Drosophila melanogaster: one gene and its partners. The gene in region 1 interacts genetically with each later gene. Each region holds a gene or a part of one and is shown on either strand. Other genes may lie near its edges. The genes, in order: eff, ph-p, Pc and bchs.

Region 1 (4,729 bases):
AATGAAGGAGAGTGAGAAGACTGAGCTTCAGTGTATGCGTGTGTTTGTAACGGCACCACAAAATCAGAGTGGAGCACAACAAAAATAGCCGTCGCGAAAAACACCGTGTTTCTTTGCCCCATCTCACTTACTCATTTTGGGAATTGTACCTGTTGAGCAAAAATAAATTACAAGAAATTGTTACATTTCTTTTTTCGTTGGGAGTCGGAGCGGTTATGACTCATATCAGACGAACAAATGAAGTAAAAACAAACACGCACACTTGTGCACAGCAAGAAAATTCGATAATATTATCAATATTAGACCAGGTGCACTACCAATACAAACTTCTATTTAATTCTTATTCGAATAATTAATATTGTGAACTTTAAGAATTGGTTCAGTAAGACTAAATGCCATATGCATTGGTTCTAAAGCCCATTTCGTTCAGTGTACGGTTCAAGTGAGCTCCGATCGGCGTTTAAGCCGTTCTCTCTCGCTCTTTAACTCTCTTTTTTGGCAAATGAGGCCATCTAGAGAAAAAAGGCTTTTGAAGAATTGACCACAAAAAGGGGGCGTGAGTGATTTTAAGAGTTTACTACAATGTATACTTTTATTTCCGGTTTGCCGCTTGCCATTTCGTTTTCATTTAGGCAGGCATTAAAATGTTATAATGGATAGAAAACTACGAAAAACGAGGAAAACTCAATGGCCATGACGCCGACGCAGGCAGCGCTGCTTTTGTCGAGACAGTCAGCAGACCCCCGCCCCACACATTCAAACACAAATACACACCACGCTCACACATACGCATAGATATGAACAAATTCCGCATTCGCTGCTCATTTTGTATGTAAATTATGCTTAATTATAATTTATAACTAATTATTTGGGGGCCCCCTTTTGGCTGACGGTGTTTTGCAACACTAAGCCCCGCTAGCACTCACACACTTGCGCTCTCTTTGGCTCTGCCCCATTGCGCGAGCGGGACCGAATGAGGCCTCAGCTGTCGCGGGCAAAGGGAATGCGCCAGGGCCAGAGCGAGATGGCATGCAATGGCCATAGCCAAGTGATGGCGAGACTTTGTATTTGCGAGCGTTTTAATGTGTGTGTGTGTGGGGTATGACTATGATAACCGGCTTCAAACGTAAAAAAAGATCCCAATTTGCCAAGTAACATTTCCACAACTTCGAGATATTACTAATGCTTTTGAGGAAGGCTGGGATGACTTTGAAAAAATATCGGGTTGTCAGGGCCTTGAACATTGGGGTGTAAAAAAGCATTTACTGGACAAGGACAAACGACGCGCAGGCACTTTAAAAATAATTATCGAAGCACGCACGCTAGAACCACTCTACCTAAATACATATATAAATATATATGCTTGGGGGCAGCACTATTTCTGAATTATCAGCGCAAAAAGTAGGGTTAGGTTAATTTTATACGCTTCTTGCTTTTGCTCTGTTTTATTTTTTGCTGGATCTTTCTGCGGCGCTGGCAGTGTGTGCGTTTATGTGTGACTGTTGCGAGGCTGAGAGTGTGTGCGAGTGCCGTGTACAGCGTGTATTGGGTAACAGCGCCCGTAGAGCTGCGAAAACTCCGCCGTATAGTTGCATTAATGTAAATGCATCCAGGTGCCCGGCACACACGCACACAAACAATGCACATTTGCATTGCACTTTCACGCACACGCATCGCACACACACTTATCCCACACTCTCGCAAAAGTAACGGAAGCGATGACTGCACTACACGTTGCCTTGCCCACCACACACACACATCCTTATACCTTTTTCACCACCCTCAAAATTTCTAATCTGCTCCTAATTACTAACTTATTAATTAAATGGTAACTCCACAGCTCATTTTCTCCCTTCCCTCTTGCACGCTTCTTTCCCCCCGCTTCTTCTTTCTTCTCCTCGGTTACTACCTACGTTTCACATTTCTTGCATAAAATTTTTCTCCCGTTGAAAACTGATGTCTGTTCGCTTTTTTTTTAGACTATCATTTTGGTGTATCGCAAAGGGTTCTGTTCTTTCTTTTTTTAGTCCGTTTCGCAAAGTTTTTTGAGATATTCCTTTTTTCACATACCTTATTGATTCTTTTTAACGCCATTTTCTGATTGAAATTTGATTTTCTGGGTTGTGTGTGTGTTTGGTTGGTTGTGTGTGTGTTTGGTTGGTTGTGTGCTGGTGTTGGTGTCTCGCGTATTTCTTTTGTTCTTCGCACAGAATTGGGTTTTATTCAATATATAATCCTCCTGCTTAGAATTGAACGAAAAACGAAACACAAAGCTGCGTTGCGCCTCTAGAACTTTGATGCTTAAATATGGCTCTTTCGGTTGAGTGTCCCTTGTCACGAAATAAAGCAGCACCAGCGCACTGCAAGTAAAAACGGCGACCCGACGAAGACTACGGCGACGATTATTTTTTCACAATCAATGCGGGGCCTTTCGACCGTTTGTGCGATAGAGACGACCGTTAGTGAGCTGAGAACGCAACGAAGCACAATCGTTACACCGAAGTGTAAGCCCGAGCGAGAGGAATGGTGTGTCTGTGTCGTGTGGTAGTGTTGTGAAGCGGAAGTCCAGCAGAGCAGTCCAGCTATATGACCTTTTCGCTAGGGGTGGCCAGATCGATTGGGTGGCAACGCCTTTTAGGTGAGGGATGAATCAGTTAATTACAATTTGATTGCCAATGCAAGACTCTTCATACTCACTTTAGTTCGGGAACAGCCAGAAGAAATAGTTTTACCGGCAGCGAGGAGGTGTTATATTTTATTCGAACTACCTTCTTATCGATGGTGCGTGCGCCCAAAAGCTTGCAACTTGTATGTAAATTTGTTAACACCCAACGTGTTGCAGGCTGCCGGAATGTTTTTACTGAGCAATTTTGAGATGTTGGTAATCCGAGTTCTTGAAAACTTTCCGACTAGCTACTGAGTTCTACAACTGAATTGACAGGGCGTTATTTTAAAATTTAAATTCACTCCAGAGCGCTGGTCTGGCAAGGCCGACGTGCCAATTCAGGATACTTGTCGATATTTTCCGTTGTGCTATCGATAGTTTTTGGGAATAACAGGCGTTAGTAGATTTTTAGTATTTAGATTTTATTATCATAAGGATGAAAATATTTTTAACAAAATAAACTGGTTCATTTAATTTAACTTTTTATTTTCTCACTACTCCAAATGGCGCTTCCGCTGTCTGAAACTGCCGTTATAATAGTATGAACAGTTAAAACAATCGACGGTAGCTGAATTTAATCAATGCAGCCCTCTTACCCTATACATCGATAGTATCGCATAAACATCGATTTTGGTTCCAGCTCTAACTTTAACTGTCTGCAAAATATTTCAAACAAAAGTGTTTGTTAATTAAGTAATATACTTAATATTAGTGGCTGTTTTGCTTCGACATTGATCGAATTGCGGTTGTGCAAGTGTTTTGTTTGATTTGTTGGCGTGTTTTTCCTAGTTTGGCGGCCCTTTGAACTCGTTCGTGTATCGCCATCTCTCTCCCACCCCCGCAATCGGCTTCGTGCGTATTTTTTTGTGAATTTTTACACAGAACTCACACTTTTGTATGGCCCAAGAATTTGTACAATATTTTTGCACTTGAAAAACAAGAAATAATGAAGAAAGCCAAGATAAACGCGACGATGTGCAAGTGCTAATCATTCAGTTTTGGCAAGCGCTGAACTTCGCTGACTTCTTGAACAGCAAAAAAGATGGAGGAGGATAATGCCAAGGTCCTAAGTAATAACAACAAGAACAACAGAAACAACAATAAGGGACGCCAGCAGCTGCAGGGACACGCCCACAGCTCCGCCACCGCCCACGCCTCCGTCGATATATTTATATTCGATTTATAGTAGCTGTAGTTGTAGTCATGCCAACAACAAAAACGCAAACACAGACAACAACAACTTGCAGCGAAGAGGAAGAAGCGGCGATAATACGAGAAAATTGCGATACGCCAATGGCGACCCCAGCAAATGCAACAACAGCAAACACAACAACTGCAGCACCCATAACAACAACAACAACAACAGTAAATACGCGCAGACAAGAAGAAGCAGCAGCAGTAGCTTCCACACCTAGTGTTACGAAAACGGCAACAACAACAAACATACTAGCCGCTGCAGCGGGATGCCACAAGCCGTTATTCTTCAGCCGCCGCTTTCAGGACAAACGGAACTTTAGCTCGCTACCGCTCTTCGTCTACGCGACCTCGCCATCAACGCACGCCCACTCAGCGGACGGAGTAGGCGTGGCCAAGGAGGCAGCCGCGTTTTGCCACAAGGTGAGTTTGTTGCACAAAGAACCAGATAAACTTGTAATATTAGGAGAACAAGGAACTTCTATAATTGCCAATCAAATATAATATATCCCCTTTAAGTTATGTATTATAAAATGTAGTATTTTATTTAAACTTTGATAATGCCATTTGTATGTATTTAGATTTAACCCCAAAACAGGAAAAGAAAACCAAAAATAAAGAATTCTGGTTGGAACAGAGAGTTTCCAGTTCGAGGGATTCGTTTGGCATGTCACAGAATTGTAATTGTAATAAAACCCCCATGGGTTTTAATACTCATTTTCTACCTTCCACTCTGCCATCTCTTTTTTTCGAGCAATCGCACCGCTCTTTCCGCTCTAAACTTGCGTAATGGATCACTTCCGCTGCACTTGCAACTTGGGTCGTGTCATATCTGAATATATAATTCCCGCCCAATTCATAGTTTAAACA
Region 2 (4,618 bases), on another chromosome or scaffold:
GTTTTTTTTTTTTTTTTTTTTGTTTAAGCAAATATGGCTACTTGGTAAATACAAAAATCTGGTTTTAGTCATTCAAAAAAGTGTGAGACAAATGCGGGAACTAGCAAACAAAAACGCTCTTATTAAATAATCATATTTACAATGTAAACATAAAAGATGACTTTCGAGAGTGGCAGAAACAAACGCGGGAAAAGTAAATATGACTCTGAGGTAACGATCACCTTTAACTCGGGATAATATCAAAACTATAGTTCCGACTTAATCACAAGGTCAAGCCTGAAGATATGTACCATGTCATTTCAATTTCTAATTAAGAATTGTGTACCCTGGTTAACTTTTAGGTAGAGATCCCGAGCCCGATCCCGATCCCAATCCCTATCCCGAAAATATTCGTTCTTTTTGTGGACCTTTTTCCGAACCCGCCCTTTTTCAGCGACAATGAACATTTGGCCAACTACTTAACGGACTTTCGCATTCAACGAATGAAGAGAAAGGAGCTGCCTGACAGCCTTCGCATTTCACATCGATCTTTATCTATGGGTTTTCGAATTTCCATGAGCAGCATGGTAGTCGCACTCGTTTTCCACGTTCAACGTTCGACAACAACAGCCCGGAAAACTAATTTAGCCACGCAGCTGGCACCGTTCGATATTATTGTAAAAGGGCAATAAAGCCGATGCGAATTGCAGGCGAAGTTCAAGGACCTTTCCATCGAAATGCTAAAAATGCTGACAGTTGGGAGCAACACGAGATGGTTAGTGTTTTATACAGTAGTGCTCAAGCTAATAGGATTAGTGGACAAACGTAAATGGCTGAGTACTCCACATGGTAAGGATGTTTTTCTAGAAATAATTAACTAATATTACTTCCTGAATCAGTTCCCTGATATAGTTCAACTATGAATGATCTAACTGGAGAAGCGTGGTTTCAAGGTCCTATTGCATTGACCGCGACTGTGATGCCCGGCAGTCCAGAGAGCCTGATCCCCACCCCTTTCCATCGCCCAAAAAGCCCGCAAGGCCCATAAACAGCAAGAGCATAAAAAGCATGAGTGCAAAAAAGACAGAAAAAGGAGCGAAATGGGTTATAAAAGCCGGTAAAAGCATTTTGGCAACCCTCATGTCGCTGCTACCCCGTAAAAGAAAGGGAATATGGGGTGGGTGGTCCAGAGGGGTGGAATACTCGCCACAGGGTGGTGGGTGCGCGTGTGCAAGTGTGTGTAAGTTAAGCTCACGGCCGCACGCTGCGAAAAACCTCTTGAGAGAAAAAAAAAGACTGGTTTCCATGTCGCCATGGAGTAGGGTACATACATTCGAGCTCGAGTGTGTGAGAACCCCCGTAAAACAGCCTGCTTGCAATCGGGGGGAAAGCAGTAGCGGTGGGAAAGGAATGATCAAAATGCGGGGCAGCACACACACACACAGACACGCCGATAGGGGTGCGGGGGAAAGGTCGCGCTCAAATCAAACATCACCTCCAGTGGATTCGGGCGTGCAAAATGCGCGGGAGCGAGCGAGGAGGGGGGGGGCCTTGACAGCCTATTGATTGATACACAAACGAGTTCTGCAATCGAAGAAGATGAAACAAATGTGAGTGAACGAGATGAGGCTATGGCCAGGCCGTACACACAGTCACATAAACTCAGAGCGAGTGCGGTGTAGCGTAGGTGTAAACAGAGTTGTCAACTATTTATTTACAAAAACTGTTGTGCTTTAAACGAGTCTAAAATAATTTAATCATTCTGGTTTATTTTCTTGCCACGAACAATTTAAGTTTGTAGGTAAAAATTAGCATTCAGTGATAACGGACTGTAAGAAATATAAAAGTATTCAATAAAATTGAATCTTCGTTAAACCGGAACACAGATTTCTCAGATTCGTTACAGCTGACAACCCTAGACTGTTTATTTCGGCAGAGTAAAGCAAAATGTAAGCAGGGTTGCCGCAGCAACAACAAAAACTGATACCTTTCGATATAGAACTTTTGTTTTCTTTATGTTGCTTTGTTGCGCGAGTGAGAGAGGGTTGCACGGAGAGACGGAGAAATCAACCACCACCAGCCGACGCACACACACAAATGCAGACACGGGCATGCATTGCGAAATTCGTTGTTAAAAATGCAACAACACCGCACAGCGGGGGGCGTGTGTCGGTTGGATGATGAATGGCGGAGAGGGCGACGGAGGGGAAACTCGTTTTGGGTTTCATGAATTTATTTTCTTTTCTTGGCCCGCCAGTCGAGCGCATTTTATGATGACAGAGAGCACAGAATATCCACTCGCTGCATTTTTACGAGCATTATGATTAACGTGTCATTATTATCCGAATACGATATAGAATCAATATCCAATGCTCAAGAGCAGATTAAACCAAAAATTGTAAACAAAAAGCACAAGTGCAGGCAGTACAAAAGCAGTGATAAAAATAAAACCAAACTAAACAAAAAATACCTTTTTTGCATAAACTTCAATGCACGACGATCCATTATTCAAAATAAAAACAATATTTATAATAAATTATAGGTATGCATGCGTCGGCTTAGGCGTTTTGTTTTTGTTTTCGGCGGCGGCGGAGACACTCGTGGTTGTTTTTGTTATAGTCGGCATGGCGCTTTCTTTTTAGTCCTCAGTTTCTTCTCTTTTTGCTATTTGCCGTATTATATTGTACATTAACAAACACGCACATGTGTGAAGGCAATAAATATAAACATACAACAGGCAACACCAAACATATACATATGTATGTAACGTGGAACGCAAGACAACAAAAGTACACAAAACGAATACGAAAATCCGACAAAAGTCCCAGTGTCTCGTGTGTGTGTGTGTGTGTGTGTGTGCTTGCGTGTAAATGAGTGTTTCGTGCACGGGCAGTAGTAATTAGTACAACCTCCACTCACAGTCACTCCACTTCAACTTCTCCCCGCTGGCTGCAGGCACTTTTCTTTTTCTCAGTGTAACGACTAAGCACCTGTGCACGCGATCTTACATAAAATTAAGCCACAGTCACAGCACTAAGTACTTGTTTTAACTGCACTGCCTACGTCGCCAGCGACGATTCGCCAGCTAGGGGCTCCACTGTGGCGCGGCATCACTTTTTATGTCTGCACATCTGCACTAGCTAATCAACAGCACCGTTAGCTCTTTTTGAAAAAAATTTAACAAATTTGCAGGGTATCCAGTGAGTATGTCGCGTCGGCGGGTTTTTTCTTCGTTCAATACACATGCGATGCGGTATGCGACACATACGACACCACACCAACACGAACGCAGAGAGAGCAGAGCGCAAGAACCGTACACCGCCAAGTTAAGTTTCAAACTGAACCGCGCGCCACAGCGACAACTCTACTTTTCGTTCGGATCGGAAACAAAATGAGCGCATGTGCGCTGAATATGTGTGTGTGTTGGTGTGCAGCTGGATCCGCTTCTCTCTTCTCAGATGCCGTTGCGACTAATAACTTTTCTCTATACCGAAATGCACGGGTGCGAGTGCGACGCCACTAGGAGTGGCCCTGGCCAGTTAGCGCGTGCGAGAGGGATGCCGTGCGTTCGCTTGGGGTTGGAATGAAACGGCAGCAGTTCGTTTGACAAAGCAAAACCAAAACGAGTAAAAAAAACAGGAAGACTACAGCTGGCGGGCATGTGTATGCGTGCTCAACCACCCCGACTGAAAGCCCCCTTCCGTTGCTGAAAACATAACATGGTCTGGTGACTCGACTTTCAAATACCCCTTTTTCATATACCATTCCTCGCTAACTTCAGTCGTATCCTTAAAATGAAAACCCTTCTTAAATATTTATTTGTAAGTTATTGGTGCTGACTACTAACACAAATTCCAGTTAAAACCAAGTGCCCAGTATACCCTTTTACTTTGTGGGTACCGGGTATGTACATACATAAATACGCGCGAAGCCAGTTTTATGTGTGTACACTCGAATGTCTACCGCCCGGCCCGACTCGACAACGATTGTTGCTATACTTCATCTTCTTTTTTCGTGCCATCACAACCACCACCACTACGACTACCTTCCTACCTCTACCTCCTTTCTCATTCCTTCTTTTTCACATCAGATCGGGTCGGATCGGCTTTACCTTATTATTAGTTGTGCTTGTCAGTAACACACGGGTGTGTCGGTTGAGAAGGGGAGGATAGCGTATGCGCAGAGGCAGAGCGAAATCTTATTCTCTCCACCCCATTGAACAGTGGTAAGCGATCCATTATTATTGGATTGCTTTACAGTTGCAGTTTGAGAACCAAGAGTACAGTGGGTCAATTTTTTAGAACAGCAATTTTTCCAAACTTTTTATACATATAAACAATGTTACGATAAGTAAAATGAAAACGTTTAGTAAAATAGAATTATATAATAGACATACGTATTGAGTTGATTTATTAAGTTTTAAGTTTATTAATGTTTCAAATATCCACCACTCATGACCCACTGTGCCTGTCTTTGTCATTTCATTTTTCATTTTGTGCCAGCCCGTGCGTGTGTGCATGCACCATTTGTAGTATGTGTGCGTTGCTTTGGGCTCTTGTTGGTCTTCTTCTTACTCTTCCCACCTCATCCAACAACAACGTCGCTGAGCCCCACAAATGTTTTCATTCCGATTAGCTTT
Region 3 (5,351 bases), on another chromosome or scaffold:
TGAAATTAAATTTATGAAAGAGAACCATCAAAAATTGAAAGATTTACATTTCCATCATATTTCCGGACATGCTGGATTAATTATTGCTTTAATACTAATGATAGTATTAATAATATATTTCATACGGAAATGTGCTGTGCAACAAAGAATGCAAGCAATAACCTTTGCAGGTCCGTTGCCAGTACTATAAATATCAATAGTAAATAAACAATAAAATAATATAACAAATAAAAATATACAGTCCACTAATAGAAAATGTACTTCTACATAGAAAAAGCAAAATGTTTAAAATAAGTTAATTGAGTACAAATTGTTGAATTAAAAATAATATAAACCATAATTGTAATCCAATAAAATTAAAAGCCAGAAAAACTAGGCCCATTGAAATCTTAGTTGCAAAATAAATGAACATATATCAAATAAATACAGTCCACTACTGTTATAAATGCAACTAATATACTAATGTACATCTCAGCTTGCTGGCCCTTTGGCAGAATGTTCACACATGAACACGAATATATTTAAAGACTTACAATTTTGGGCTCCGTTCATATCTTATGTAAATGAATCGAGAGCGATAAATTATATTTAGGATTTTGTTATCTAAGGCGACATGGGTGCATTGCTCAAAAACATGTAATTTAAGTGCACACTACATGAGTCAGTCACTTGAGATCGTTCCCCGCCTCCTAAAATAGTCCCTTAGTGGGAGACCACAGATAAGGTCCTCGCCGCTCAAGATAGGCAGATGTGCCCGAGCGTGGGACCTCGATAAGGCGGGGACTATTTACTTAGGCCTCTGCGTAGGCCATTTACTTTAAGATGCGATTCTCATGTCACCTATTTAAACCGAAGATAATTCCAAATAAAATCAGTTTCTTACAAAAACTCAACGAGTAAAGTCTTCTCATTTGGGACTTTACAACTATATTAAAAAGCTTAAAATATACGCTTTGAATTGCTGTTTTGTGTGGAATTTACGCCGTAACTAAAACTAGCCAATAAAGAGCTAAGACAAATAGAAACATACGCACAGGACCCATGGGAAATAAGCAGGAGTTTGTAAATTCCCCGCAGCTCCCACGTAGTTTTCTGTTTCATAGCGTGAAAAAAAATTGTGAAATAGACATAGGATTTAAGTAATGAGTCTATGGGCTCGATTTGGAATTATCTGTGCACTGCACCGCTCTGAACCCATAAAGGCAGCACTTGAGTCTTGAATGACTGCTAAGAGAACATGTTAAAATAAATATTACGTAGAGATTTTGGTTAGCTAAAGTCTAAAAATATTTGTAAATCTACAATTGTATATATGTTTTTGGGGTTTTCTTTTGTAAAATCAGTCGGCGCGAGGAAATATAATATTAAACAATTACAACATTGGGATAGCCAACTCGGCAAACGTGGTGGTGACTACTCGAATATATGCATCTTCTATTGTATATATTTGTAAGCGTAATCAACAATTGCTTCGGTTTCGCATGGAGTTTTCTTAGCATTTGAGTGTCTTGTGTTGTTTTCAATCAGATTCAAAGTGTTATAAAAAATATACAATATGTGGTAAATATATGTAACATGTACATACATATTTATCTACGCTGCAAGTTTTACAATCTATTGCATTGGCAAGTTAAGCAGCCGCAGCATTTCGCCTATTCACTAAATGACAACCAGATTAATCTTAAAAAGTGATATTGCAGAAAAATAAATTTTTAATTTAAATAGGAAAATATTCAATCATTGCAATGCTGATAAAAAAAATGAGCGAAAATTTATGTATATATAAAGTCATTTAGTAAATACCCGACTTGCGCTTGCTTAAACTACTCTTGCACATTAAACATTGTAATAAAACAACAAACTAAAACCTACGCTAAAAATAAATACAATAAATTAGTTAAGTCCTAAAGAGAAAATGCTTAGCAACATTTAGTGTGGATTTCTCTGCATAATTCTTCTCTCAACTTTCTCGCATTTTGGTTTGTCTATTTACAATTGTATCAGTTTTCCGGTTTGTTTTCCCGACATTTGTTTGGGTCGAAGCTCAAGCTACTGGCGACGAATCGCCTTTCATGTCGCGCTCACGAAAAAACCCGCGCTCCGTCTTGCACTCGCGTATGGTAACGGTCTCCAGGTTTACGGTGACGTCTGTGATCACCACCCGGTTGGATATGTTGCATTTGGCCGGCAGCCAGAAGCGCGGCGGAAGGGCACGCGGCGAAAGAGGAGTAAGCGGCTGTTTCTGGTTGATAGCCAGGTTGTTGCACGGTTTTGGTATGTTATTGTTCTCGGAAGGAACCTGTGGCGCCTGTTGGTTGCCTTCCTCGTTGGCTACTTCTTCTTCCTCAGCTCCGGACTCTGCGGGCGTTGTGTTTATGGCTTCTGTGGCCAGTGGGGTGGCCTGCTGCTCAGATTTCAGCTGCGTTGCAGCCTCGCTGGCAATCTTTTCCGCTTGCTGCTGATCCTGGAAGGGCTGCTGCTGGCTGGGAGTTACCTGCTGGGTCGGCTGAGGCTTAATAGTGGGGCCATCTGGGGAGGTCTTAATCGTAACTCCAATCTTGCCCGATTCCTTGAGCACCTCGGCTTTGCGTTTGGTGCCGATCAGCGGCTGATCCTCGGAGCTGGAGGAGTTGCTGTCCGGCTCGGGGACAAATGAGTTGTGCGTGAAGCTGCTGTTCGAGGAGGAGCTGTGATCAATGCGCTGACGCTTGGACTCGTGGTGGTGGTGATGATGATGGTGGGTCAGCGGAGATTCCGAGCGCCGTCCACTGTTGCGTTCGGACTTGATGTGGTGATGATGGTGGTGGTGGTGATGGTGCTTCTTCTCCTTCTTCGACTCCTTATCGTGGGTAGCCGATGAGGTGGTGGCTTGATGCGTGTCCACATCGTTTTCGGTGAAGGTGTACTCATCCTCCTCGGATTCCGGCTCCGGATCGGGTTCTTTCTCCTTCTTCTTAATGCCTCGCTTGGAGGGAGTTCCGGAGGATTTGTTCGTTTGTTCGTAGATGTCGATGAGGCGGCGATCCAGGATGTTTACCTCCGGTTCCCAGGTGTTGTAGCGCTGGTTCCAGCCCTTCCACTTGACACGGTACTCCACGACGCCCTGGAAAATCGAGTAAGTGAAGGAGTGGGGGTGGATTGCATTTTCTTAGACAACTAATTGATTTTCCATTCAGCGAAACAAAAACACGCCTCACATACACACACACACACATACGAACGCACTACGCACACACACATGCATCGTGCAAATGGTGGTTGCAGCAGCAGATGTCCTCTGGCCAAAAAATGTCGAAGGACATGTGACCTTGTGGACTATACATATATCCTGCGTGTGCTGCGCATATTGCATTTGCCATTTTTAGCGGAGCATCCCGTTTTGGTCGCCTTTTTCGAATTTGTTTACGCTCATCTCACCTTCTTAACGCGCTTTTGGATGATTTTCTCAGCCGCGTACACTAGATCGACTGGATCGTCGGTCGCATTGTCGCGCCCCAACTTCCCCTTACTCCCCTTGCCTCGACCAGTCATTTTTAATTAATAATCTTCTCGGAACGTTTTATTATTCGTTTTATTTGCAATTAACTTCTGGTTTACAATTCTGCGTACGTCGATAGTCGTCCGACTCGATTATTTTCATGTAAACAATCGATAGTGCTGCGAGGTGCAGAGTTACCGTGCTACAAAGAACTGGGATCATATCTTAGCAAGTAGCCGTGTCGCACACCCTTTCCTGGCAAAATTAGCAAAGACTCAAAACTTTGATGACTAGACACACCTAATTGTGCGTTTTTAAAATGTAAATGTTTTGTTAAAATATTTTCAGAATTTCTTGACATTTTTCTATTATTTATAAATGGGGTATATAAATGTTTTAGAAAACATTTTTTTGGCGCTGTTGCCTTATACACTATTTTCTTTTATCGTTTCTACAAATTACTAAACCGGCGAGAAGTTAAACCAATTAGCTTAAATATAAAATAGCTTTTAATCAAATTTTAATAAGCGCATTTTTAATGAATCCTTTGTACAGTATTCTTTTTAAACTGCATGTTGAATTGAATTCCAGGTAACGAAATATTATACTTTCGTTAACGTTTATCGTTGTGTTGCTTTCATCCCATATTGAGTTTTGATTTTCCTTTGTCCTGCTTCACTTATTGTATCACAAATTGCCACATATACTTCGCCCCATATTCCTATTCAATTAAGTTTGATAATTAACTTGATTACAACTGAACTAGTTACCCTCTTCGAACTCTTCAAATGCCACATCCTCAAGAGGGAGAGAAAGTGCGGGAGAGAGTGTGAGAAAGCACAAGAGCGCCGAAAGCTCAGGATGGATGTGAAAGGAAGTGGCCGACTGCAGATATTTTATGCCAGTTGTATGTTGGCCGAGGGTTCGCGTGGCGGGGGCGGCAACGACGATGACATTATTTTATTTATGCTGTGATAGTGAAATAACAACAACACCAAGACCAACAACTGAAATAACACCCATTCCCTTGAAATCAATCGCAATATTTTCGACGAGGGACGCGAAACGCATGGAGAATCTTCACACTTAACGACGAAAACGAGAAATTAACCAAAAGCTTTAACCAAAACATAAAGAAAAACACCAAGCAAATTGTTGCGAACCCTATAAATAGATTAATGTTTAATTCATAGTGAAAACAGCACCAATTAGCGCATAACCTATAAAATATTAGTCAATATGTTTAGCTAGTTACAATTTACATAGATGATATTTAATTAGTGGCTTCAAACAAAACACCAAGCAACCAAACAACCGAACAAAAAAGGGGAAAAACCAATACCTAGTTCAATTGTACGGAGCGAAAAACTAACGAATAGCGATTAGGAAAACTGGCCAACTGATAAGGCTGGCGAAAATATTAAGCTTATAGCATATAGGAAATAATAATAGCAACGGCAAACCACCCCATCTCCAGGCGAAAGCCCCGAATAGCGGATTCATTCAGAAAAACGTGCCACACAACCGGACGGGAGCGACGGACAACGGTAAATGTCAAAGTCATAAAGAGAAAACTCGGAAATGCCGATGAGAGAAAGCTCAGAGAAAACGTCAAAACTATGAGAGGCGATAAAAGCTAGCCAGTTACAGTTATATTGGGAGAAGCAATGCCAAGTGTCAAAATCGCAAAGAGAAAGTAACAAAAGAGAGACACAGCTTAACGAAAACTTCCGGTTATTTTTTAACCAGTAGATTGAGCATTACGGCCATATATTAACGCAAACAGGACAATGGAATAGCTTGTATTTATCAGTCGTTTTGCCTAAAAAAAGAGTTTATAAAAAGAAAAGAGAAAGGAACGCCGCAATAGGAG
Region 4 (4,815 bases), on another chromosome or scaffold:
TTTAAACTCATCGAGGTGTTGCTGGGCAGTGTTTGTATGTTTTTCCACATACGCGGCTCATCCTACTGGCCAGAGCGTACTCCTCATGTGATCCTATATTGTGCCACATTTTCGTCCTTTACGGCGCTCGCCGCTCTAGGCGCGTTCCGACTGCTATTGGCTAGGAGTACGGTGCTCTCCTCCCAGCTCCTGCTCACACTGAGTGCCGTGCTGTCGCACTATTTCTGCGGCGTGCTGATAATGCGCACCGCCATGCTGGACCCTCACCTGGCCTTCATCAATTCTACCATCGAGTATCTGGAACATCCGCACTTTGCGCACTGCAAGCAGCAGAGCATCGCTGCGCTGGTTACTGGCACCATGTACCTGATGCACATGTTCCACGTGTTCGACCTGCTGATGCGCATGGAACCCGGCGACTGGAAACGTCAGGCGACTGGCCGTAAGTACTTTGAGGGAACAGAGTCTGGTTCAACCGGGCTATTTGTGCTTTCCAAGCCAGTGGACGACTTTCTATGCAAATGCTGCAGGTGCTACTATAAGTTGGCCAATTCTCAGATCCTGTACTTCCGGCCGAACGCGGAGGTGGAGCAGCCGCACTTTATAGTCCGCATGTGGCAGTTCATTGGGGATGCGCGTAAAAAGTTCTTTTCGCTGCATCAGATCGAGAGTGACGAGAGTTTTCTATCAACGCCAACAATAACCACCAGTGAATCGGATATCACACCGGTGGACACGGAGTACAGTGTGTACATGGAAGAGCAGGCCAATAAGATGCGCAGGTCTGCTTCAGCCTGGCGCGGCTCCAGCGATTCCTCGAGCTTGTGGGCCAAAATCGAGGACAGGAGCACTGTTAGCCTTGTTTCAACTCGGTCAAGTGAGAACAGCGAGGCCACAATGAAACCCATTCAAATGGATCGGAAGCTAGCCCGGCGATCTTCCATGTGGGCGGACACTGAGAAAAGGGAGAAATCGGAGATTTTGCTGGTAGAACAGGGCTCTAGCTATTCTCGGCTCAGAACTTTAAGCAATGCTGAATTGGTCCATAAGCCAAGCGATGCGGGAGAAAAGGAACAACAAGTTCCAGATGCAGCCAACCCAAATATTACAAATGAAGAAGCTACGAACTCACACATCGAATTCTCTTTGAAGCCTGGAACTGAGAAAACTTCGTGAATTTGATGACGACTTTCCCTAACGAAAATTGTAGCTATTGAAATTTTTTGTTTTGATTACGTCGATGTATTTTTACCATAAGATACTATAGCAGTTTATAAATGAAACATACCTGTATGAGAGATACGTCTCCATTGGCCAACAAATTGAGGGTAGCCAAAAGCATCCATCCGCTGCTGGTTTCCTCGGTGGTTTCCACCTCGAGAAACTTGACTATGGCAATGGATGCCGCCTCTGTGCTCTGGTTGGAGGCGCGCTTGCGGATTTCGCTGACCATGAGACGGGACACTTGCTGGCAGAAGGCGACCACGTCCCAGAACTTTTCGCTCATGTCGTTTGACGGACAGCTGCTGAAGACCTGTAAGAATGGGGAGTTAGTGGCCTATTCCTCCATACCGACTGATTCACTCACTTTGCAGAAGAGGGGCAGCATCTCGTAGAGCTTGTCATCGCGCTCCTGTTCGCTCAGCGGCTCCCGCGGATGAGTGTATTCGTTGAATAGCTTCTTTAGCGTGGTGAGGCTCACTTGGACGCGGGCGTCCATCAGCGCCTCCTCCGCATTCCGTCCATTTGCAGCGGTCGGTGCACCAGCATCCGTTCTGCTGCTCCCTGGTGAACTGTTGTTCGCCGTCGAGGTTCCGCTACTGCTGCCGCTGACGCTGCCTGCGCTGGCCGCTCCGCGCAGCTTACGCATTACATTCATCTTTGTGTTTGTTGATTTGCGGTAAGATTAATCTAAAAGAGAGAAAATTAAGTTGACTTAATACAAAATATAAGACTAATCTAATGGCTGTACTATGAGGAATGTCATTGATTTTTTTGCAAGGGGGTGGCACTTTCTACATGTGTTTTAATAATGGTGATTCACTTGTTTACAATGTTATGCCGTTTAAAAAGATTATATATTATTCGATAAAGGTGTAAAAAGATATTTCATAGTATTTTGAAACTTTTTACTGCTGTAGTTTAATGAACTTTCCCACTTTCATGCAGGTTTCAGTTCAAAACGTGTCGCTTCGCATTTAAACATATGTTTCCATAGAACCTGTGCTTATTGTAGATATTGTATCTTTTGAACATTGGAGGTGAGATATTTTGGCGATTTATTTGCACAGCACTGACACTTTCAATTGAGTGGCTTCCAAATCACAACCGCGCACAGTGCAGTTGGCGTTATGGCTTGTTTTCGCAGCTATTCTATTTCTGCTGCCGCCGCCTTAATTAGCGGCCGCTGGAGGTGAATCACACGAAAAGTGCGATCATTGTATTCGGTGCGAGTATTAACTTTTCGCGAGTGAATGAACGTTGCCTCTGTCGCCGACTCGATTCGATTCGTACGCCTACATAGCGAGCAAGCGATTAACCGATAGTGGTTATTATTCCATATATTCGGGAAATATTTACATTTTGTGCGAGACAGCTGTTCTTGGTTTACTTATTGCGCACTTGTTTGTTTACTCCAACTCCCTTTGAAACTACCGACTATCTGACCTCTCTTTTCTGCCAACGCATTTGGTTCAGCTAACGGCCGCTCTGTTGTTGCTTTTTCGTAGTCCGCTTAGCGCTCTCTTTCGTGTCGCACTTTGTTTTGCTCCAGTCAATCGCGCCTCACGACAATTTTATTGATTTTTCTTCCTCTCTCGCGTACTCTCACTCGGCCTCTCTGCCCGCCACCCACCCTTGAACAAACCAGCAGATAGGTCGAATTTGAAAATTTTCACATGCACTTTTCCGGCTTATTTCGTGCAGCCGTCACTTACTTTTGCTATCCGTCGCTAGCATTGTGTTTCCCGTGTGAGTTTTCACTATTTTGGGCCCTAAATGCACTCGTTTTACATCTTGTTTCACGTATGAAAATATGAACCAAATTTTCTCCAGCTTTTCGTCTGTACTCTCTTTTCGTTATTCTGTCGAGTGTTGCGTAGCGCTGCCAGTGGTATCAGCTGTTCACATTTTCCACCACCGCAGCCAGTGCTCATTAAGACCAAACGCCAGTGCTGCATTTTGAATTATGATCGGCGGTCTAGCTTTGGCATTTCAAATTCAACTGTACTGATAAGCAAATAAACAAGACCGATTTGTATTAATCTACTTCATTTTATTATTTTTATTTAATACAAAATCTTTTGTATGTCGCCAACGATGTGCTTATCTTCAGATTGTATATATTAGATCGCTTACTAAACTAATGGCAACAGTTTAATAGAACTAAACTGATTTATCTCATAAACTTAGCATCTAAATTGATACTTAATTAGCACTTACTTAATGTTCATGTGTGCTCATAATTAAGTTCATTATTGTTAATAATATTATATGAGTGCTTTCGCATCTCGGCTAACAATTGGTATTCTTAGGCCATTGGCCATTAATTTCCAAATTTCTCTCTCGCCCAATATTCGCATGAGTGTGAGATTCTTTATTGATTCTGGCTAGGGGTTATTAATATTTGTGTTTGTACTTACAGTTGTTATAATTGTCAGCATCAACAGATAGCTGTCGGATATGACAACAAATTTATTTGCATATTGATTGAACGAACACCCGATGGCGAACTTCATGCGTTGATAATGATGCTATTTGCTGACTCATTTGTGGCAGAGAATGCTGTAAGTTTATTGGGATTGATTGATTGGTAAGGCCATTAAATGCCACGCACGTCCTTCTGATCTAATTTCCCTGTACCCGAAACCAATTCGCTGTGTCTCCCCATTTTAATGCGGATAAAATTTCGTTTTTGAATCAATTAGGGGTGCAAAAGAATAAAGGCGTGTCGTGCTAAATATTTAGTTAGTAGTTATCCCCATGACCAACTGCCTCGCTCCCCAAAAATAGTTTACCTTTGGGCGTTGGCCCCGCCACGCCCACTGACCCCTTGCGTGACTGCCCGTATCCACCCGCTCCCACAGTCCTCTTCAGTTTTCCAGCTAGCCAGCCAGCCACATAAGCTAAGCTCGGAGTTCCCTAATGCTTGTTTATGTGGGAAAGCGTTTGGGATTGGCACTTCTCCAGGTATTATATCTTCCCACCCAGACAGGTACTTTGCGCACTTTCCCGCCCGACAAACCCCCCACCGCGATTTGTGGGGCAGGGTTGTGGGGAAAGTCCTTTGTCTGCGGCAATATTCTAATGGATTTTTCCGTTTCAGTTATAAATAGAGGCCCCCTACAACTGACAAAAACGGGAACAATATCTCAGGTGCCAAGAAGGGGTAGACCAGTAAAATGATATTCGGTAGATTGATAGCGCACTAAAAAAAAAAACTCGTGAAGTTGGCGCGAACATTCTATTTACATACAAACTCTTATGAGTAAAGTGACATCAGCCTATTTCATCCGCTTAATCTTCCTTTAAAGGTGAAGTGCAATACCCAGCAAAATTTTAAGTGGATTTTTAAGTGAATTTTCCGAGGACCGCATATGCTGCTCGAGGCGTTTCCGGAAAATTTAAAAGTGTAACCCCAAAAATCATTTGCACAGCATTCATGGGGGACTCATTAGGCGGGGCTTCCCCCTTTCTGTCGGAACGAATAACTTTTATTTTTCGCCCCAGAGTCCTCCACTTCATCACGACGCTGTTGTTGACAATGAGCGAAACATTTGCGTATCGAAATTGGCAAGACCCCGGGCGGCGGCCAAG

The links.
Region 2: of eff (region 1) and ph-p, changing one enhances a phenotype caused by changing the other (phenotypic enhancement), as found in Drosophila melanogaster (2 studies listed by BioGRID).
Region 3: of eff (region 1) and Pc, changing one enhances a phenotype caused by changing the other (phenotypic enhancement), as found in Drosophila melanogaster (2 studies listed by BioGRID).
Region 4: of eff (region 1) and bchs, changing one enhances a phenotype caused by changing the other (phenotypic enhancement), as found in Drosophila melanogaster (one study listed by BioGRID).

What each region holds. Positions count from the first base shown.
Region 1 is NT_033777.3:14,738,310-14,743,038, forward strand, and holds the start of eff (effete), read right to left. Parts: upstream 3,011-4,729; 5' UTR 2,698-3,010; intron 2,632-2,697; 5' UTR 2,095-2,631; coding exon 2,071-2,094; intron 1-2,070. Other genes in the region: jvl (javelin-like), read left to right, coding at 3,869-4,282. UniProt on the Drosophila melanogaster protein: Catalyzes the covalent attachment of ubiquitin to other proteins. Mediates the selective degradation of short-lived and abnormal proteins.
Region 2 is NC_004354.4:2,133,568-2,138,185, forward strand, and holds the start of ph-p (polyhomeotic proximal), read right to left. Parts: upstream 3,056-4,618; 5' UTR 2,485-3,055; coding exon 2,450-2,484; intron 1-2,449. UniProt on the Drosophila melanogaster protein: Polycomb group (PcG) protein. PcG proteins act by forming multiprotein complexes, which are required to maintain the transcriptionally repressive state of homeotic genes throughout development.
Region 3 is NT_037436.4:21,314,380-21,319,730, forward strand, and holds the start of Pc (polycomb), read right to left. Parts: upstream 3,642-5,351; 5' UTR 3,532-3,641; coding exon 3,418-3,531; intron 3,104-3,417; coding exon 2,045-3,103; 3' UTR 927-2,044; intron 1-926.
Region 4 is NT_033779.5:5,905,409-5,910,223, reverse strand, and holds the start of bchs (blue cheese), read right to left. Parts: upstream 3,056-4,815; 5' UTR 2,937-3,055; intron 1,912-2,936; 5' UTR 1,880-1,911; coding exon 1,589-1,879; intron 1,535-1,588; coding exon 1,289-1,534; exon of another isoform or gene 1,177-1,288; coding exon of another isoform or gene 1-1,176. Other genes in the region: CG14000 (uncharacterized protein), read left to right, coding at 1-1,176.